Canis lupus familiaris: one gene and its partners. The protein of the gene in region 1 interacts with the protein of each later gene in a pairwise test. Links are inferred from orthologs where the notes say so. Each region holds a gene or a part of one and is shown in the gene's direction. Other genes may lie near its edges.

What was found.
Region 2: the proteins of KEAP1 (region 1) and HSP90AA1 interact in a two-hybrid assay, tested with the Homo sapiens proteins (2 studies listed by BioGRID). The link is inferred for Canis lupus familiaris from reciprocal best matches to the Homo sapiens genes KEAP1 and HSP90AA1.
Region 3: the proteins of KEAP1 (region 1) and MAD2L1 interact in binary tests that used the Homo sapiens proteins (3 or more experiments, as listed by UniProt). The two-hybrid records come from large-scale screens. The link is inferred for Canis lupus familiaris from reciprocal best matches to the Homo sapiens genes KEAP1 and MAD2L1.
Region 4: the proteins of KEAP1 (region 1) and WDR83 interact in binary tests that used the Homo sapiens proteins (3 or more experiments, as listed by UniProt). The two-hybrid records come from large-scale screens. The link is inferred for Canis lupus familiaris from reciprocal best matches to the Homo sapiens genes KEAP1 and WDR83.
Region 5: the proteins of KEAP1 (region 1) and CCNB1IP1 interact in binary tests that used the Homo sapiens proteins (3 or more experiments, as listed by UniProt). The two-hybrid records come from large-scale screens. The link is inferred for Canis lupus familiaris from reciprocal best matches to the Homo sapiens genes KEAP1 and CCNB1IP1.

The regions. Positions count from the first base shown.
Region 1 is NC_049241.1:51,052,891-51,056,390, forward strand, and holds part of KEAP1 (kelch-like ECH-associated protein 1), read left to right. Parts: intron 1-1,405; coding exon 1,406-2,091; intron 2,092-3,376; coding exon 3,377-3,500. UniProt on the Homo sapiens protein: Substrate-specific adapter of a BCR (BTB-CUL3-RBX1) E3 ubiquitin ligase complex that regulates the response to oxidative stress by targeting NFE2L2/NRF2 for ubiquitination.
Region 2 is NC_049229.1:70,501,558-70,505,826, reverse strand, and holds the start of HSP90AA1 (heat shock protein HSP 90-alpha), read left to right. Parts: upstream 1-1,469; 5' UTR 1,470-1,626; intron 1,627-2,040; coding exon 2,041-2,202; intron 2,203-2,343; coding exon 2,344-2,710; intron 2,711-3,074; coding exon 3,075-3,208; intron 3,209-3,487; coding exon 3,488-3,808; intron 3,809-4,016; coding exon 4,017-4,182; intron 4,183-4,269. UniProt on the Homo sapiens protein: Molecular chaperone that promotes the maturation, structural maintenance and proper regulation of specific target proteins involved for instance in cell cycle control and signal transduction.
Region 3 is NC_049239.1:56,410,676-56,414,953, forward strand, and holds the start of MAD2L1 (mitotic spindle assembly checkpoint protein MAD2A), read left to right. Parts: upstream 1-1,478; 5' UTR 1,479-1,598; coding exon 1,599-1,671; intron 1,672-2,754; coding exon 2,755-2,901; intron 2,902-4,278. UniProt on the Homo sapiens protein: Component of the spindle-assembly checkpoint that prevents the onset of anaphase until all chromosomes are properly aligned at the metaphase plate.
Region 4 is NC_049241.1:49,840,053-49,844,024, reverse strand, and holds the start of WDR83 (WD repeat domain-containing protein 83), read left to right. Parts: upstream 1-1,172; 5' UTR 1,173-1,241; coding exon of another isoform or gene 1,242-1,347; 5' UTR 1,348-1,462; coding exon of another isoform or gene 1,463-1,512; 5' UTR 1,513-1,896; coding exon 1,897-1,999; intron 2,000-2,076; coding exon 2,077-2,197; intron 2,198-2,296; coding exon 2,297-2,402; intron 2,403-2,944; coding exon 2,945-2,993; intron 2,994-3,067; coding exon 3,068-3,194; intron 3,195-3,972. Other genes in the region: WDR83OS (protein Asterix), read right to left, coding at 475-541, 631-728, 1,242-1,347, 1,463-1,512. UniProt on the Homo sapiens protein: Molecular scaffold protein for various multimeric protein complexes. Acts as a module in the assembly of a multicomponent scaffold for the ERK pathway, linking ERK responses to specific agonists.
Region 5 is NC_049236.1:17,803,861-17,808,135, reverse strand, and holds the start of CCNB1IP1 (E3 ubiquitin-protein ligase CCNB1IP1), read left to right. Parts: upstream 1-1,475; 5' UTR 1,476-1,478; coding exon 1,479-1,573; intron 1,574-1,864; exon of another isoform or gene 1,865-1,996; intron 1,997-3,258; coding exon 3,259-3,586; intron 3,587-4,275. UniProt on the Homo sapiens protein: Ubiquitin E3 ligase that acts as a limiting factor for crossing-over during meiosis: required during zygonema to limit the colocalization of RNF212 with MutS-gamma-associated recombination sites and thereby establish early differentiation of crossover and non-crossover sites.

The DNA.
Region 1 (3,500 bases):
CATCTGGGGTGACTGTGGGAAACAGCTGAGGAAAGTGAGAACTTCATGGGTCTATGTCTGGGATCCCCGACTTCTCTGGGGTCAGGGCTGGGGACAGGGTGCAGCTCAACCTTAGGGTACGCTATTGGGGGCCTAATATTTCAGACAGTCTGCAAATATTTATTGAACACCCATGACATGCTTCCTATCTCAAATGTGACCCTTAGACATGTTTCCTGTGGTCCATGCTGTGTTGTCCTTACCCTGTACTTGGTTTCATTTTCGGTTTTAAGTGGAGGAAGTTGTGAGCAGAAAATAACAGATGCCTTGTAAATCACAATGATGAGCCCAAATTCTTGGGTAGCAGCTACTAGAGGTTGTGCCCCTGGGATGATGATAATAATAAGTGTTTGTTGAACATTTGCTGTGGGCCACCCCCTGTTCTAAGTGATTTCCATTCTTTAAATCATTGGATTTTCCCCCACTATCCTTTGAGGAAGTACCACCCTTAGGCCTGGCCCAACAGGGCTGTACCCCAGGCCCCACGCTTTAGGGAGTTCTGTGCTTTAGTGTGCCTTCCTGGAAATTCTAAAAGTCCTCTTCCAGTGGCTGGGATCAGCTAGGGTAGATACTGCCCTGGTTTCCATCTCTTTTCTTAAGGGGTGGATGTTCTCCTTCCCTCTCCCCCACATTGGGGTCGACCAGATGCCCTGAGGAGCGCTGGCGTTTGTCCTAAGGCCCATGGCTTCCTGGAAGGTGAGGGTGGTCTGTGAGCAGGGCTTTCCCACAGGCCTGCAGTGTTTCTTTAAAGGGACCGTGTGGGCTTGAGGTACCAGGACATTTGTGACCTACCAATATTGGTAATTGAGTTATTTATATAGACTAGTGCCTGACAAGAAATATTTGCCCAGGACCCTGTACACCCGAGGAGTAGCCCCGGCTCTGAGGTAGCTACTAATACAATTGCTCTTACAGAGGAGGAAAAACAAGGCATGGAGTGTTAGAGATATTTGCCCAAGATCACCTAGTTAGAAAGTAGTGGGCCAAGTTGCAGCTCAGCCTTCTTTCTTTAGAGCCTACACTTTTTCTAGAATATTCTGTCCCCATTACTTTTTCCTTTTTGGTCCATCTACCCTTTTGAAAAAGTAATTTTGTTGAAAATAGAGGTAACAATCTTGTAGTTCAAGCACACAATGATACAAAAAGGTACATAGTAGTGCCTTCACCCATCTACCTGAGTACTTAGGTACCATATGCCTGTAGCATTAACTCATTTAATCTTCTTCACAACCTATGAAGTTCACACTATTCGAATCCTCGTTTTACAAAATAGGAAACTGAGATTGTCAGAGGCAGGTTGAGTGACTTGGCCGTGATCATACCGCCGTTGAGGGGAGTCAGCCTGTCACAGTAATGCCCTCTGCAGGTGGCCAAGCAAGAGGAGTTCTTCAACTTGTCCCATTGCCAGCTGGTGACTCTCATCAGCCGAGACGATCTGAATGTGCGCTGCGAGTCCGAGGTCTTCCACGCCTGTATCAACTGGGTCAAGTATGATTGTGAGCAGCGGCGCTTCTATGTCCAGGCATTGCTCCGGGCTGTGCGATGTCACTCGCTCACACCCCACTTCCTGCAGATGCAGCTGCAGAAGTGTGAGATCTTGCAGTCGGACTCCCGCTGCAAGGACTACCTGGTCAAGATCTTCCAGGAGCTGACCTTGCATAAGCCCACGCAGGTGATGCCCTGTCGGGCGCCCAAAGTGGGCCGGCTCATCTACACCGCTGGTGGCTACTTCCGCCAGTCACTCAGCTACCTAGAGGCCTACAACCCCAGTGATGGCACTTGGCTCCGATTGGCAGACCTGCAGGTGCCTCGTAGTGGCCTGGCGGGCTGCGTAGTGGGTGGGCTGCTGTATGCTGTGGGCGGCCGGAACAACTCGCCAGACGGCAACACCGACTCCAGCGCCCTGGACTGCTATAACCCCATGACCAACCAGTGGTCGCCCTGTGCCTCCATGAGTGTACCACGCAATCGGATTGGGGTTGGGGTCATTGATGGGCACATCTATGCTGTCGGTGGCTCCCACGGCTGCATCCACCACAACAGTGTGGAGAGGTGAGTGGCAGGGCCTGGAGGGATGGGCTCGGAGGTTCCCATTGCTGACAGGCCCCAAGCCATTGGAATTTGGGGATTCCCCCTGTTGTTGAGTGCTTGTCTCTGTCCTGGCTTTAGGGAGGGGAAGCCTCAGGTGAAGCTGAATTCATGGGGGATTTATGGTCAGTGACCTTGGATGATGTGTCTGGGCCTGGGAATTGCTTACAGGGCTGTCCCAAACCCATACAACTTCTGCAGATTTGGAAAGAGTTCTATCAGTTGGAAGTTGTTATAAAATGCTAATTTTATTAAGACATGACACCTCACTGCCATCTGCCCCAAAATTGCTGTAATAAACTGATGTATGAGGTCTTCTGTGTGGAAGGTGCCCCCTTGGATGTGGGACTCTTGTGCAGTGTACAACATGCAGAACTGCATGATGACCCTGTGTTTAGAGCCTAAGCAATTTTGGCTTTTGACTTTTGCCAGACAGTCCTCTCTGCCTTCTCCTCTTTCAGAAGCTTGATCCAGGATACAGTTCTCAGCTGGAGAACTTGTTAAACTCCCTAGCCCACTGCTGGAGATCTGGTACTGGTGGGTTTGGAGCGAGGCTGGGGAATGGGAATTATAACCAAACAGCACACTTGTACGAAAACCATCCTGGGTGGCAGCCTAGTTGTTAGAATTAAGATTCTTGTGTCTTTTTTTTTTTTTTTTTTTTTTAAGAATTATTTATTTATTTATTCATGAGAGACACACAGAGAGAGAGAGGCAGAGACACAGGCAGAGGGAGAGGGAGAAGCAGGCTCCAGGCAGGGAGCCTGACGTGGACTCGATCCCGGGTCTCCAGGATCACACCCCGGGCTTCAGGCGGTGCTACACCGCTGCGCCACCGGGCTGCCCAGATTCTTGTGTCCTAGAAGGCTGGGTCAAACCTCCAGCTCCTTGGTGACCCTGGTCTTGCCATTTCATCCCTCCGTGCTTCTATCTTGTTATCTAAAGATGATGGGGGAAGTGGGAGATGATAGTAAGGACTACCTGCCCAATGGTCAAAGTGGGTTTTGCTGAGCTAACATACAACACAGCACAGGGCCTGGCAGTGCTATATGGTGGAGCCACCACCAGCGTCCAACAGGTGCGTGTGTAACCTTGAGCAGATGATGGCTGTGAACCTGTTTCCTCAGAGAAAAGCTCTGAGGAGTAAAGAGTTCAGGTGCATAAAGAATTAGCAGCATATTGGGTCATAGTAAGTGTTCCACACAGGTCAGCTGTGATTGCCATTGTTACCGTTACTATGCCCTTGCAGGTATGAGCCAGAACGGGATGAGTGGCACTTGGTGGCTCCCATGCTGACTCGAAGGATCGGGGTGGGAGTGGCTGTCCTCAACCGTTTGCTCTATGCCGTCGGGGGCTTTGATGGAACAAACCGC
Region 2 (4,269 bases), on another chromosome or scaffold:
GCTTCGGAGAACTTGGGGGTCTGTGTGGCCACTTCAGAACTTTCCCTTGCCCACGGTGCGCCCTAAGAGAAGGACCAGCCCCCAAATCCAAGCAGCGGCCTGCAGGTCTGGAGATTCCGCGGCCAAGGAGGGAGGCAGGGATGCCCCTTGTACGGCCTTCAGGACGGCCCCCTGGAGGTCCCTGGGGCTCCCCTGGTCCAAACATCCCCCCACGGTCCGGGGCTCCCTCCAGGCCAAGGCAGAAACCAGGGATTGCGCACAGTCCGGCCCCCGCCCCACACGCGGCCAGGGGCTGGCGTCTCCGCACCCCTGAAGCAGGCCGCGAGCCGGGGCCTCCGCATCACGAGGCTCTTGTAGGCACCTGTTGCCCCACTTCCAGGGCCCTGAACCCAGAATCGCTGCCCCGGCCAGAGAGATGGAGCGCCCTACACCTGAGCCCCCAGTCGCAGCGCCGAGCCTCTCTGATCGCCGCCCGGGCGTTCAGATGCCGGGCGACCCCGCTCGGCTCCTCGAGCCCCTGGATCCCCCCTCCCAGCCAGCACCTGCCCCGGGGCCTGGGTGCAGACCCCGACTGTGCCCCGGGATCCGCCCTCCCAGCGCTGCCCCTGCCCCGGGGCCCCGGGTGCAGACCCCGACTGTGCCCCTGGATCCGCCCTTCCAGCCCCGCACCTGTCCCGGGGCAGACCCCGACTGTGCCCCTGGATCCGCCCTCCCAGCCAGCACCTGCCCCGGGGCCCCGGGTGCAGACCCCGACGGTGACCCCTGGATCCGCCCTCCCAGCGCTGCCCCTGCCCCGGGGCAGACCCCGACTGTGCCCCTGGATCCGCCCTTCCAGCCCCGCACCTGCCCCGGGGCAGACCCCGACTCTGCCCCTGGATCCGCCCTCCCAGCCAGCACCTGCCCCGGGGCCCCGGGTGCAGACCCCGACGGTGACCCCTGGATCCGCCCTTCCAGCCCCGCACCTGCCCCGGGGCAGACCCCGACTCTGCCCCTGGATCCGCCCTCCCAGCCCCGCACCTGCCCCGGGTGCAGCCCCCGACTGTGCCCCTGGATCCGCCCTCCCAGCGCTGCCCCTCCCCGGGGCAGCCCCCGACTGTGCTGGGGCGGCCGTGCGCGCGGGGCCCCGAAGCGTGCACACTAGTGGGGGACACGGTCTGGGAGCACCGCGCTCCCGCGGCGGAAGCAGCGAGGGCGGGCCTGGGAGGCTCCAGAGCGCCCGCGCGCCTCGCTGGCGGCGCAGGGCCGGGGTGGGGGCAGGGCCCCGGCGCGAGCCGCGCTGCAGACGGCGGCCCCGGAAGGCGCGAGACCTTCGCGAGAGTTCCGGGCTGCGCCTGCGCACTGAGGCCGGCGCGGGGACGCGCGGGGCGGCGTCGGGGGTGGGGCGCTCGGGGCGAGCCCGCGCGCGGCCGGGAGAGGGGCGGGGCCGCGGCCAGGGCGCAGGCGCAGGCGCGCGGCCGCGGCGGCGGTTGGGGAGGGTTCTTCCGGAAGGTTCGGGAGGCTTCTGGAAAAGGCTCCGCGCGCCGGGCGGGCCCGCGTCTATATAAGGGAAGCGCGGGGGCGGCGCGCCAGTTGCTTCTGCGTCCTGGTGCTGCGTCGTCGCGGAGCCCGTGCGGTCCTGTAGCCGAGGTGAGGGGGCGGTCCGGGGGGTCCCCGGAGGGCGCCGGGGGTCGGGCCCCGCGGGGTCGGGGGCCGCGGCGCGGGGTGGGCCTCCTGGAGCCTCCGGGCCCCGCGGGGACGGCGCGGCGCGGCCGAGCGCTCGGCGGGGGAGGCCTCGGGCCTACTGCGGCCCCGACCCCGACCCCGACCCCCGCGGACGGGACCCCGGGCGGCCGGGCCGCAGCTCCGGGGGCGCCGGGGGCGGGGGGGGGGCGCTGGGCGGGGGGTCCCCGCGGGCCTGCGGCGCCCGGCGGCGGCGTGCGCACGGCCCTCGTTGTCGCAGCTGGAAATGAGGTCATCCTTTGTCGGCGGCCCCCGGCTCGGGCCCGGCGGGGGCGGGGGCACGGGGACGGGGGCGCCTAACCGGCCCCGCGGCCCTTGTAGATGCCGGAGGAAACCCAGACCCAGGATCAGCCGATGGAGGAGGAGGAGGTGGAGACGTTCGCCTTCCAGGCGGAGATCGCCCAGTTGATGTCCCTCATCATCAACACGTTCTACTCGAACAAGGAGATCTTCCTCCGGGAGCTGATTTCCAACTCGTCCGACGTAAGTGGGGCTGCCTGGGAGCGGGGGTCGCGGCCTGCGGCGGAGCCCTCCTCTCCTCCCTTCCTCCCTTCCTCCCCCTCCCTCCTCCCCCCCTCCCCCTCCGGGAGCGCCCGACTCAACCGCTCGCCGCTTGCTTAATAGGCTTTGGACAAAATCAGATACGAGAGCTTGACCGATCCCAGTAAGCTAGATTCTGGGAAGGAGCTGCACATTAACCTCATTCCGAACAAGCAAGATCGAACCCTGACCATCGTGGACACCGGCATTGGCATGACGAAGGCCGACCTGATCAATAACCTGGGTACCATCGCCAAGTCGGGGACCAAGGCGTTCATGGAGGCCTTGCAGGCTGGCGCAGATATTTCCATGATTGGCCAGTTTGGCGTCGGGTTTTATTCTGCCTACCTGGTGGCTGAGAAAGTGACGGTGATCACCAAGCATAACGACGACGAGCAGTATGCCTGGGAGTCTTCGGCTGGAGGGTCGTTCACGGTTAGGACGGATACAGGTGCGCTTCAGAACGGCTTCCCGGGTCACTCGGTGGTGGGGGCGGGGAGGAGGGGGGCTGGAGATGCTGTGGGATTGGCAAAAACGTGTTTGCTCCGTCCTGTCCTGGAGTGAGCTGGGTGGTGGCACGTAGCACGTGACTGTAGCAAGGAGCCTCTGGTTTCTGCAGTCGGGTCAGGAGGTGAACTGCTCTGGTATCTACATCGGTATAACTAAACCCCACGTGGTAAAGTTGCTCTGAAATTGTTGCATGTGGTGTGTGGAGAGCGGGATTGTGGAGTTTGTAGTTTTTTTTTTTTTTTTAATCTCAGATACGTTGAATTTGCTCACTCAGATTGAAATTGAGTCCGTTTACCCCTTTACAGGTGAACCTATGGGTCGTGGAACAAAGGTTATCCTGCATCTGAAGGAAGACCAGACTGAGTATCTGGAGGAGAGGAGGATAAAGGAGATTGTGAAGAAACATTCTCAGTTCATTGGCTACCCCATTACTCTCTTTGTGAGTGTCCACATGGGGTGTAGTAGAGTCTGAAACTAGTGAATTGAAATTATTACTTATTAGACCTGTGGATGAAAGATTCAAACTTGGCATTGACTTGATTAGTGAGAAATATTCTGTCAATGTACACACGGTGGTTTAGAGACATTAAATGTTGGCTGCTAAATACTTGTTACTTCGGTATTTTGGGCTTTGGTGTAAGTGCCCACGCTGCATTCAGAGCGTGTTCTTCAGCTCCAGGATGCAGAGGTGATGCGATTTTTGCGTTTTCTTTTGAAGGTGGAGAAGGAACGTGATAAAGAAGTCAGTGACGATGAGGCTGAAGAAAAGGAGGAGAAAGAGGAAGAAAAAGAAAAGGAAGAGAAAGAGTCTGATGACAAACCTGAAATAGAAGATGTTGGTTCGGATGAGGAGGAGGAGGAAAAGAAGGATGGAGACAAGAAGAAAAAGAAGAAGATCAAGGAGAAGTACATTGACCAGGAAGAGCTGAACAAAACCAAGCCTATTTGGACCAGGAACCCTGACGACATCACCAACGAAGAATATGGGGAATTTTACAAGAGCTTGACCAATGACTGGGAAGATCACTTGGCAGTGAAGGTGAGCACCCAGTGCTTTAGACCTAGTCTACCCTCCAGGTTGCCTGAGGTGGTTGGGGTGCGGGTGCTGCCAAGGGCTTGGTCATTCCAGTCCCTGAAAGTGCTGGAAGTTCTGGGACAGAGCCTGTGGGGGGTCAGGCAAGGTAGCCGTCAAGGGGCGGTTGGTTGCAGTGTCCCTTGATGATGACCTCCCGTGTATATTTTTACAGCATTTTTCAGTTGAAGGACAGCTGGAGTTCAGAGCCCTTCTCTTTGTGCCAAGACGTGCTCCCTTTGACCTATTCGAGAACAGAAAGAAAAAGAACAATATTAAGCTGTACGTTCGCAGAGTTTTCATTATGGATAACTGCGAAGAGCTGATCCCTGAGTATCTGAGTAAGTGTGGCTAGATGGGAGGCTCTGTCCCGCCCCGTGGTGAATCTTTTCTGGACTTGAGTTTCAAGCATTTGGGGCACGGGATCG
Region 3 (4,278 bases), on another chromosome or scaffold:
ACAGGTGGGGAACACAGTCACCAGGTCCAGGTAAGGCCAAGCAGAGGACCAGTGTCACCAGGGCCAGGTGAGGCCCAGATGGGGACCGGAGTCACCAGGTACAGATGAGGCTAGAAGGAAACAAGGGACACAAGGTCCAGGTGAGGTCCTGGTGGGAGCCAGACTCACCAGGTCCAGGTGAGGCCATGGTGAAGATCAGAGTCACCAGTTCCGTTGAGGCCCAGGTGGGGCCAGAGTCACCAGGTACAGAAGAGGTCAAAGTGAGGACCAGAGTTACGAGGTCCAGGTGAGTCCCAGTGAGGAATAGAGTAACCATGTCCCGATGATGCCCAGGTAGGGACCAGAGTCACCAGGTCCAGATGAGGCCCTGGTGGGGAGCATATTCACTAGGTCCAGGTGAGGCCCAGTTGAGGACCAGAGTCACCAGGTCAGGGTGAGGCCCAGAGGGGTTCCAGAGTCATCATGTCCAGGTGAGGCTCAGGTGTGGAACAGAGTAACCGGGTCCCAATGATGCCCAGGTGAGGACCAGAGTCACCAGGTCTGGGTGAGGCCTAGATAGGATCAGAGTCACCAGTTCCAGGTGAGGCCCGAAGGAGTCCACAGCAGTCAGGTCCAGGTGGGGCCCAGGTGGGGACCAAAGTCACCAGGACTGGGTGAGGCCAGATGGGGACCAGATTTACCAGGTCCAGGATTTAGAGTTAGGGTTAGGGTTTAGGCTTTAGGGATTAGGGCTGGAGGGACTCCATCCCTGGTCTCCAGGGTCACACCCGGGCTGAAGGCAGCGCTCAACTGCTGGGCCACCAGGGCCGCCCCCCCCAATTTCTTTTTTTTGTGTGTGTGTAAGATTTTATTAATTTATTCATGAGAATACACAGAGAGGAGAGAGAGAGAGAGAGAGAGAGGCAGAGACACAGGCAGAGGGAGAAGCAGGCTCCACGCAGGGAGCCCGACGTGGGACTTGATCCCGGGTCTCCAGGATCACGCCCTGGCAGAAGGCGGCGCCAAACCGCCGAGCCACCGGGTCTGCCCCCCAGTTCCTTAACAGCTGCGCCCGCACACAGTCACCAGGCCTTCTCAAGCTGTGGCTGGACCGCCACGCACGCGGTTTCTTGACTGACTCCCAGAGTATCTAAGCAAGTTTCAATCGCCCACTAGGGAGTGGGCGGGGTCCCTGGGCCACGTTAAGATGCAACTGGCGCGTTCACATCACTCTGAAAATAGCTTTGAAACTGACGAACCGGGATCCTGGGCTGCTCACTCCGCAGGCCTCGGGAGCGGGCGTCAAAGCCAGGTTTTGCGGTCGTCTCGCCTCAGCTGCGACCCGGCGACCACAATTACAGGTGCTCGGTAGGGACCCTTCCGTGCCCGACAACCCGGAAGTGCCTGACCACGCCTACCCACTGCGCCTGCGCGAGGCGCCCCTCCCGCGAGCGAGGAGACTGGCGCTGGGCCTGCCGGGAGGCTCGTCGCGCCTGCGCGGAGGGCCCCTGGCGTGCTGCGTCGTTACTTTTGAAACGACTGGCGGGGAACTTCCGTTGGAGGCTGTGGCGTCGCCGTCCGCCGGGCAGCAGCGCGCTCCCTCGTCCCTAGGCCTGGCCATGGCGCTGCAGCTCTCCCGGGAGCAAGGCATCACCCTGCGCGGGAGCGCCGAAATCGTGGCCGAGTTCTTCTGTAAGTCCCCCTTGCGCAGGCCAGAGGGCGGGGAGAGCTGAGGCCAGGCCGCCCTGGAGGCCCGGCCCGGCCACGGAGGCGGGGGTCGGGGTCGGCTCTCTTTGCTCCAGCGCCCGCCGGGCTGGAGAATCTAATCTAGGAGGAGGCGGATGCAGGCGCCACCCCCGGGCGCCTCGCTCCTGGTGGAGCAGGAAGCCCAGGTGCTGCCGAGGCCCGCCTGGCGCTGCGGCCCCTCCACCAGCAGCCTTGCTTTATTTTTTTTTAAATTTTTTTAATTAATTAATTAATTAATTTATGATAGAGAGAGAGAGAGAGAGGCAGAAACACAGGCAGAAGGAGAAGCAGGCTCCATGCACCGGGAGCCCGATGTGGACCGGGAGCCCGACGTGGGATTCGATCCCGGGTCTCCAGGATCGCGCCCTGGGCCAAAGGCAGGCGCTAAACCGCTGCGCCACCAGGGATCCCAGCAGCCTTGCTTTAAACGGCGGATCCGACACGCTTCCCAGCCCGGCCCCAGCCCCACGCCTACGCCCACCCCGAGCGGGGTGGGGCCCCAGTATATCTTGAATAGCCCTTCCACCAAGCTTTGACCCCGGTACTGACGGCGATGGACTAGATTTAGGAAACTCTGTCCTGGACCAGGCCATGTTTGTACCCTCTGATGGAATCTGGTAGGAGAAGAGGAGGGAAAAGTGAGGGAGAGGCTTGCTTTGGAACATTGGACCGGTTAATCAGTTGCTAATCCAGACGCAAAAGCCTATTTCGACACCCTGTGATCACATAACCTGAATTGGGGCTTGCATTACCGTGAGCTTGTAGTTCTACTTTGACACTAGGTTAATGCAGTTTGGCATTTTTAGTTCCGCATAAACGCAGGTATCGTGTTCTTTTTACTTAGAAGCAACATTTTTAAGGATTTTCAGTGGCACTTTTCACTTACTCTGCTTTCAGCAAGACACCCACAAATGCACGTTTAGGCTTTTTCAGTTTGATACCAGGAATGAAACCGCAGCCACATCTAAATAGGTTTTATTTTCCAGAGTTGCAAAGTGAAAATGACTTTAACATTCCTTTTGTTTTCAGCATTTGGCATCAACAGCATTTTATATCAGCGTGGCATATATCCATCTGAAACCTTTACCAGAGTGCAGAAATACGGACTCACCTTGCTTGTAACAACTGATCCTGAGCTCATGAAATACCTAAATAATGTAGTGGAACAACTGAAAGGTATTTAATTGTTGAAAACCATTTTGAGTTTTGCAGGCTTTCTTGGACCCGTACTTTCTGGCATCTTGGTGTTCATTTTTCAGCGCTATACAAAGAGGTGTAAAACACTGCAATTTCAAATACAGTGATTCTCAATCGGAAGGAAGCAAATAATAAGTTGAAAGAAAGTCCACTCTTCCCTACCACATTTTGAGTGGGCTAAATACTTTGATGTTAGAAATCTGATCTGGCTTCACAAAACAATCTCTATCAACTCCCTTTGAAGTGATTTTTGCAGTTCGTGTAGCCAGGTGGAACAAGTTGGAATTTTACATAACTATGATGATGTTTATTATTGGAGAGAAATCCACTATATATTTTTAACATGATATATTTTCTATAGCTGCCTAGAGTTTAAAACCATCATTATTTTAAGATAAAATGAAATTGAATCCAGCCTGGGAACTAAACTTAAAAAAAAAAAAAAATACTACTAATAGAGTACCCAATAAAGTTTTTTAATGTCTTACTGTCTTCAATTGTCTTTGTTAAAATCCTGCCTGTAAGTTAGCCATTTCTATCTGAACACTCACTGTTTTTTCTTAGCTCAAGAAATTACTGAATACTTGTTGAATGAATACTTGTTCTCCATCTATTCTTTTTTTCCCCCCATCTTTTTCTCTACTTAGGATTCTCACTTCTAATTTTTCTGTGTTATAGGATGTTTCTCCCTGGCTCCTCATTTGACCTTCCAAAACTAGTTCCCAAAAAAATTACAGTAATTTTTTTTTAATTCCTGAGTCATATATATATTTTCTGTTTCAAGGGGCTTTATTTTTTAAATTCTATTAATCATATTTTTATCATCTTCAGGGCTAAATCACCCAGGGCTATACTCAGATTACTTAGCCTGAAACATAGAAGTAACTAAGAATCTATGTCACCTTAATTTGATGAAGAAGCAAGCCCTGCCTAAGCTACTGATTTTAGGTTGTCTCCTTTAAGACTACACTGATGACATTTCACCTCAGTTGTATGTGAGTTGTATGTGAATTAAACCTTCCGATTTAATTTGTCCCTTTTAGTTAGAATGGAGGAATTGCTCTTCTTAGAGGCAAATTGTTCGATCTCTTTGAATCCCCATCACTCTAGCCTTCCTAAGGACTTTACCCTAGTTCTTCTCTGGTATTTCTGACTTCTTTGTTTTGAGATATTTTCATTGGTTTCATCTGTCTTCAGTTTTAAAAGAAAAAAATTTCCACACACCCCAGATCTTTAAGTGACTACCCAATCTCTTCCTTTTCAGAGCAAAATTGAGAAAAAGCTGATTTTTGTCAAGGGGTCAGCAAGACTGACCGCCCATATCCAGCAAGTGGCCTATTTTTGTACTACCTGCAA
Region 4 (3,972 bases), about 1.2 Mb from region 1:
GCTGACTTAAGTCACAAGGCTTGTGAAATAAGCAAGTGAACGACCAGAAGGCTCCAGGCTAGAGGCCCACCATAGGCCTGACTGAGTTGGAGGATCTGAAGCCCTTCCCCCACCAGGAAGAGCACCCACAAATGCACAGAAGAGAGAGGTCGCAAAGAACAGCCAGAATGCAAAATTTTATTATTAACTGGTTTAAACAACAACAAAAAAGACGAGTAGATACACGTAGAAACATGGACAGCATCTCCCCCAGCAGCAGGCAGGGTGGGGAAGGCAGGCAGGAGGGTAGGCCTAAGGTATTCCCCTCTGCCCAGCAGAAGTAGAATCCCAGGGAAAGGGTCAGGTTCCCTCCATTCAGCTGCAAGCCCGGAGACTACCTCATTCAGGGGAGCCCAGGACAGCAGCTGAGGGCAGAGGCTGAGCAGCCAGGGGCCAGGCCTGGGGGAATGTGTAGAGAGAAGTCCTAGGCTGACATCACCAGGGGGGTGTCATGGGCTGCGGGTTCTGCAGATATGACATGACCACAGCAGAGATGGACAGCCTGAAAAGGGAAAGAGGTGTCAGTCCAGGCAGGCTTGGGTCCCCCTCTCCAACTACTCAGGAGTCCTCCGTCTCTAGGCCTAGACTCACATGAAGCTACTCATCATTTGTTTAGTGTCCTCAGAGCTCCGGGAGTTGGCAAAGCTGATGAAGGAGCAGTAGACGGCCACCCACGCGCACCACTTCAGCTGGGGAAAGGAAGGTGGATGGGGGTATTTGGTCAGTGACAGGCACACTAATGAGCCTCCAGAGGGGTTCCAACCCCAGGCACAGGTTCCAACCCACTGATTCCGCCGGATACAGCCTGGCCCTCATTCCCAAGAATCCCGTAGCCTACTCCAGGTACCCAGTTTCTCGTCCTACTCTCTTGGCCTGCGTCTCTGACCCCAGCACATAACCTCAGGCCTAAGACTGGCCTGTGACATAACTTGTGATGCTAAGAACCCCATCCTTTCTCCAGGAGGCCCCTCCAAATTGCTTTAAAACCTGGCCCCGCCTTCAAACTGACCTCTCGGGTACCCACCCCTACCTTCCTTCCCTCCCGCGCTCCGGCTTTCTCCGCCCAGCAGCACCTAAGCCCCGCCCCCGGCCAGGCCCAAGCCCCGCCCCCTAGCGCGGGCCCCGCCCGGTTCCGAATCCGCTGCCCCCACGGGCTTCGCTGTCAGGCGAAGCGATGCCGGAGGAAACCCGGTGCCGCCCACCTTGAGCATGAGGCCGCACATGCTGAAGATCATGCCGAGCAGGTTCATGTAGTCCGGCGTCGGGTCGTCCAAGGCCGGGTTACACTCGCTCGGCGGGGGCTTGTACCTGCGGCAGGCTCAAGGGTCAGAGGCACTCGAGTCCCGCCCCCGAAATGGACAAGCGCTTCCCTGGGCCTCGCCCCACAGCCCGAGCCCTGTTCCCATGACGTCGGGGTCCTCACCTGAGCACTTTGTTCGGCCTTCGCGGGTCCGACATGTTGTTAGTGGACATGGCAGGTCGGAGGTCGTGCCTCTTCCGCTGCGGGAGTTGCAGCTTCCGGCGCAGAAACGGAGGGTGGCTTTTGGAGTGACACCCTCGGTCTTCGAGCTTCCGTTCCTGGCGGCGGGGGCCAGGACTCCTCCAAGCCGGGGGACAGAATTAGAAGAGACCAAAAATGTTCCTTGAAAACAAGAAGTGGGGAAAGAAACCTGGGAGCTGGAATCAGACTTCGGTATTCCCAATATTATCCCGAAAAAGCCAAACCTTTGAACCGGAAGTGAGAAATAGGAAGTAGACTACGGAAGACAATAAGGTTACATCCAAGCGTGGGTGCCGAGGGTTCGGAAGCTCCGGGGCAAACCGATGTAAGGCGGCGACGAAGGGGTCCCGAAAACGATGGCTTTCCCTGAGCCAAAACCACGGGGCCCGGAGCTGCCGCAAAAACGGGTGAAGACCCTGGACTGCGGGCAGGGGGCAGTGCGAGCTGTACGATTTAATGGTGAGCTCGCTCTTCATTCCGGGTTCTCCTGCCTTCTGAGGTCCGCAGCCCTCTGATCCCTTCCTGCTGTTCCCCAGTGGATGGCAATTACTGTCTGACGTGCGGCAGCGACAAGACCCTGAAGCTGTGGAATCCGTTGCGAGGGACGCTGCTGAGGACGTACAGTGGCCACGGCTACGAGGTGCTGGACGCGGCCGGGTGAGCAGTTGGGGCGGTGGGTGGGCGGCCAGGCCGCGTGATCCGGTGCAGAGGTCGGGATCTGAGGTCAGCACTGACCTTCCTTCCTCTGTCCTCTAGCTCGTTTGACAACAGTAGTCTCTGCTCCGGCGGCGGGGACAAGGCGGTGGTGCTGTGGGATGTGGCATCGGGGCAGGTCGTTCGCAAATTCCGGGGCCACGCGGGGGTGAGTACAAACAAGAAGAGCCCTCATTAGAGCCTTGATGTCAGAGAAGGCCCGCATTATCGTGTAGGTGATGACAAAGACTCCTTCCACCCCCACCTATTACAGAGTGAGGATCCTTTCCCAGTGGCCCAGCATGCAATTTCCCCAAAACCTTTCACCTCCCCACCCCCCCTCTTTTTTTTTTTTTTTTTATTTGAGAGAGAACATGAGCAAGGGGGAACAACAGAGGTAAAGGGAGAAGCAGGCTCCCCACTGAGCAGGGAGCCCAACAGGGGACTCGATCCCAGAACCCTGAGAACCCAGAACCTGAGCCAGGACCCTAGAAAGTGAGCCGAAGGCAGACACTTAACCAACTGAGCCACCCAGGCACCCCTCCTTTGCCCTTGCTTTATTTATTTATTTATTTTTTAAGTTTTGGCATTTTTATATCCAACGCCTCCCCCACCCCCCCATTCCCTTGCTTTAACTTGCATCAGGAACCCTGCCTTAATCTCAGTTTTCCAAAGTCCAGCTTCCTCTGAGTGGCAATTCCTGTTTCTCAGAAGGTGAACACGGTCCAGTTTAATGAAGAGGCTACGGTCATCCTGTCTGGTGAGTCTGGGGCCTAGGCAGGGTACTGCCCCTGCTGCCCAAACCTGACTTCTACCTCATGCTGGTCCTCACAGGCTCTATTGATTCCAGCATACGATGCTGGGACTGCCGATCTCGGAGGCCTGAGCCGGTGCAGACACTGGACGAAGCCAGGGATGGCATATCCAGTGTGAAAGTGTCAGACCATGAGGTCCTGTCAGGGTGAGTGGAGCCAGGACCTCACCCCTCTGCTGGTGCCCCCGGGGATCACTGCTGCCTCTCTACTCAGATTAAAAGCAACTCTTCGGGATCCCTGGGTGGCGCAGCGGTTTGGCGCCTGCCTTTGGCCCAGGGCGCGATCCTGGAGACCCAGGATCGAATCCCACATCGGGCTCCCGGTGCATGGAGCCTGCTTCTCCCTCTGCCTGTGTCTCTGCCCCTCTCTCTTTCTCTCTCTGTGACTATCATAAATAAATAAAAATTAAAAAAAAAAATAAAAAAAAAAAAATAAAAGCAACTCTTCTCACCTTAGCTTACAAGGCCCTGCACAGTCTGGTCTCTGCCGATCTTTTAGCTTTTATTCAATCCAGGTCTCATTTCTCTTAATATACTAATCATGCTCTCATCTCAGGACCTTTGCAATTGCTCTTCCTCTACCTGGACTCCCTTTCTACTGAAAGTGTTTTTGAGCATCTCTTGCATACCACTTTTTTAGTCAGTGAACACTCAGCAGTGGATAAAATAGGAAAAAAATCTCTGCCCACATAGGGTTAATATTCTGGTTGCAAGAGGCAAATAATTAAAATTCCCAAAAAAGGCTGCCCTTTTGCTGCCACAATGCAAAGGAGTGCCATTCCCACTAGTTTGGGCTGCCCAGTCTATTGCCTCATCTGTTCCCACACATCTCCTCCTGGACCACACGTGTTTGTCTCCTTATCAAGTCCCAGTTTAGAGGTCACCTCCTTGGGGTGACCTTCGTAGATGACTCTCAGTCAGCAAG
Region 5 (4,275 bases), on another chromosome or scaffold:
AATGAGCTCGTGCCCTTTTGTTGTACTACGTCTGGCACTGTCACAATCAGAAACTGCACGAAGGCTCGGACGGCCAACGGCGCTGTTGCGGGTTCACACACGGAGCTTTACTTCTGTTGAGCCCAGTTGGGACCACGGTAAACTCCCCGGGAGGTTTTAAGGACTGTCTGCAAAGGCCAGGAGGACTCTAGCTACTAGGGAGCCTCTGCAAGCAGAAGAAAACTAGCAGGAAGCTGTTTACTTAGGACGGGTGTGTGTGAAGCATGGGTCAGCATTAGAGCTCAGGATGCAGGGGGGATGCGGGGCCCTGGTGTCAGGATTAGAGCTCAGGACTCAGGACGGGGGTCTGCGGGGCGGTGGTGCTCGTCGTGTGCTGCTCTGTTGGGCCATGTCCGTCTTTCACGGTGGGGTCGCCCGTGGCCGTGATGAAGCCCGCAGTAAGGCCTGTATTCCTGGGACCCCTCAAACCCTCGGCTCCTGATCAATATAGTTTCTCTACTGATCTGTTAGAACCTATATCGATTCTCACAGACTCCTATGGATTGCACAGGAAATCACGCAGTTTGCACAGAGAGCAGCAGGTAACAGCACGAGGGTAAGACGCGGGCAAACCTCTGAACGATTCTAAGTAGGTCCCGGGAGTGCGGGCAGGTGTCGGGCAGGTGTTGAGCAGGCCTCGGGCAGGTGTTGGGAGTGTGGGCAGGTGTGGGGCAGGCGTCGGGCGGGTGTCGGGCAGGTGTGGGGCAGGTGTCGGGCAGATGTGCAACACGTGGCGGGCAGGTGTGGGGAAGGAGTCAGGCAGGTGTGGGGCAGGCCTCGGGCAGATGTCAGGAGGCCTTGGGTAGGTGTGGGGCAGGCCTCGGCAGGTGTCCGGAGGCCTCGGGCGGGTGTCGGGCAGGTGTTGGGAGCACGGGCAGGTGTCGGGCAGGTGCCGGGCAGGTGTGGGGCAGGCCTCAGGCAGGTGTGGGGCAGGCGTCGGGAGCGCTGGCAGCTGTGGGGCAGGCGGACGCGGTCCTCCTCCGCCTCGCAGCGCCGCTGGGCACGTTCCGACACAGGTGAAGCAAGGAGCAGTTCCGTGTCCTGCGCAGGTGCTCACGGGTGTCCCTGGCGCGGGCGGCACAGCACCGCGGTGGAGCCCGGGTCTCCCCAGGGCGGCACCTCGCGTCTCCGCGCTTCTGCACCAGCCACTGACCAGCGCGCGCCGTCCCGGGACAAGCCCTGCGCCGCCCGGGCACCGACCTCCGCGCCGCACCGGCCCTGCCGACGGGGCCTCGGTGCCGGGAAGGAGCAAGCTCGCGAGCGCAGCACCACGGCCTTCCCGCCGCGACCCCTCGACCGCGCAGCGGGACCCGCGCCTCAGCGCCGGAGACGCGCATGTGTGGGGCACGTGCGCCTGCGTGTGGGCCACAGCCCCACGGGCCCAGCATGCTGAGCGGCCGGAAGCCCGTGCCGGCGCCGGTGGAGGGGCGGGACTGCGCATGCGCGGCTGGCGGAGCAGAGGCGGGACGGCGAGGGCTCGGCGCCTAGGGCTGTGGACACGACGGCGTGTTCCCGCGCTTTTCCTGGGCCTCAGGTCAGACGCGCGGCTGGAATCGGCGGTGTCGGGGTGTTGCCGTAGGGGCCACGGGGAGGCGGAAGCCCGGGCTGGTCGGCGGGCGCGACGCCCCCGCCCTTCGCCTTCCCTCGCCTGCACGCGGCGCCGCTGGACGGGCCGCGCCTCCCTCCCGGCGCCCCTCCCGACCCCCTTCCCGGTCCTCCTCCCGGTCCGGCCGGGCCCGACCCTCCCGGCTGCCTGTGCCCCTTACCCCGCGGGGGGAACCGGGCCTGACACTCAGGCCGCGGGGCCGCCCAGCCGTGGAGACAACTCAGCCAGTCCCTGCGGGGTCAGGTGTCGGAGTGCCCTCGACCCTGTGACCTCGGCATCTTTTCTTTTTTCTCTTCTCTTTTTCTTTCTTTCATCAAAGTAACGTTCTTGACGGAATCCGTTGGTTAAGAGGTGTGTTTGGTGGGAGCATTTTCCTTGGCGTATAGTCGGGGCGTCGCAATTTTCTCATATAATGCATGATTTTGGTACATCCAGGATGTCGCTGTCCAGCCTGGGCCGGTAAAGCCAGGGAGTGGGGACGTTACATTGAAAAGTAACTTAAGGGTATTTATTTGTGTAAGAGTTTTAGTTCTAACAACTTTTTTTTTCCCCCCGGAAAGTATAATATTCAATAGTATTTATATTAATAGGTGAGTTATTTGGTGGTAAAAATGAATCAGCTTTTATATAAATGGTTATTTGCTTGGACTGGTTATTTTCCACTAAATGCTATCAGATCACTACTCTTTTTTAGGTAAGGCAACACAGGTAAACAATCTGAGGATATGAAAAACCTAAAAGTGCAACTTAAAAAACACTTTGCACTAAAGAATGGCTGAAAATTGGGGCGCCTGGGTGGCTCAGTGGCTGAGCATCTGCCTCCAGCCCAGGGCATGACCCCCGGGGTCCTGGGATCGAGTACCCCATCGGGCTCCCTGCGTGGAGCCTGCTTCTCTCCCTCTGCCTGTCTCTCTGTCTCTGTCTCTGTCTCTCCCTCCCTCTCTCTCCGTCATGAATTAATAAATAAAACCTTTTTAAAAAAAGAAAAAAGAATGGCTGAAATTGGTACCTGGACTTCTATCTGCCAAGTGTGAGAAGTGATAGTAAAATATTCTAGCAAACTACAGATGGGTGATAAATTTGGCTTTTTTGTTTAGGTGTTGAGGAATGGCAAAAGACACTAATTATTATTTGTATTTTGAAAATGTTCCTAAAGTTTATTTAACATATACATATTATTTTTGGCTTTAATAAGATTTGGACTACTTGTGTCTTTAATTTGTTTCTAAGGGACACCTGAGTGGCTCAGTGGTTTAGCGCCTGCCTTCGGCCCAGGTCATGACCCCGGGGTCCTGGGATCAAGTCCCCCGTCGGGCTCCCTGTAGGGAACTTGCTTCTCTCTGCCTCTCTATCTCTCTCTCTCTGTGTCTCTCATGAATAAATAAATAAATAAAATCTTAAAAAAAATTTGTCTCTAAAAATTTTTTTCATGGGCTTTCTAGAGGTTTACACAAAGGAGCACAGTTAATATGACTGAGTAAAATGTATATGATATATTGATTATAATAAATACAAACAACAAAGTACAATATTTTATAATAAAATGAAAACATGCTCTATTTCATTTTCACTGACATTTGATTCTTTTGACCTTCATATTTACCCCTTGTTAGGTTTCCTTTCAGCTTCGGGAGACTTTCTGCTATGTCTCTGTGTGAAGACATGCTGCTGTGTAACTACCGCAGGTGTCGACTCAAACTCTCTGGCTATGCCTGGGTCACTGCCTGCTCCCACATCTTCTGCGATCAGCACGGCAGTGGAGAGTTCAGTCGTTCCCCAGCTATCTGCCCTGCCTGCAACAGTACCCTTTCTGGAAAGCTGGACATTGTCCGCACGGAACTCAGTCCCTCAGAGGAGTACAAAGCCATGGTGCTGGCTGGACTCCGACCGGAGATCGTGTTGGACATCAGCTCCCGAGCACTGGCCTTCTGGACGTACCAGGTTAGTGCTCAGGACAGTTTCCAGACAGCAGGATTTGAGGCGTATGTGGAAGCTTCTAATGTTTGTTTTTTTATTCACTGTGTTTGTATTCATTTTTCATGAATATATAGAAAACTTTTTTAAAAATAATTTTGTTTTTTGAAATCTGAAAGAAAATAAAAAAATTGACCATAATGCCATTGGTCAAAGATCATTGTTGGTATTTTTGTTTGTGTATTACTGGACTTTTTTTGTGCATAAGTATGTATTACATATGTGAATATATATTTTATCCAAAAATATGGGTAATATCACTTAAAGCTGACGGTATATTATGCTTATTATGAATATTTTATTAAATATTTTTAAATTAGTTGTCCTATCATAATTTAAATAGTTGTATTGCATCATAATTTATTTTCAAGCTATAAAAGTGATGAGCTTTCTTATCATCAAATTCACGTATTTAATTCTTGGCTAAGAATAAATTCCTGAAAGTGAATGAGTACATTTCAAAGTTGTAAAAATTATAGTATTTTGTGACACCAGGTGGCTCAGTCAGTTACGCATCCTATTCTTGACCGTAGCTGAGGTCATAATCTCAGGATCTCGAGATCAAACCCTGATTTGGGCTCCTCACTGAGTTGTGGAGTCTGCTTAAGATTCTCCCTCTGCCCCTCCCCTGTGTGCACTTCTCTCTCTCTCAAAAA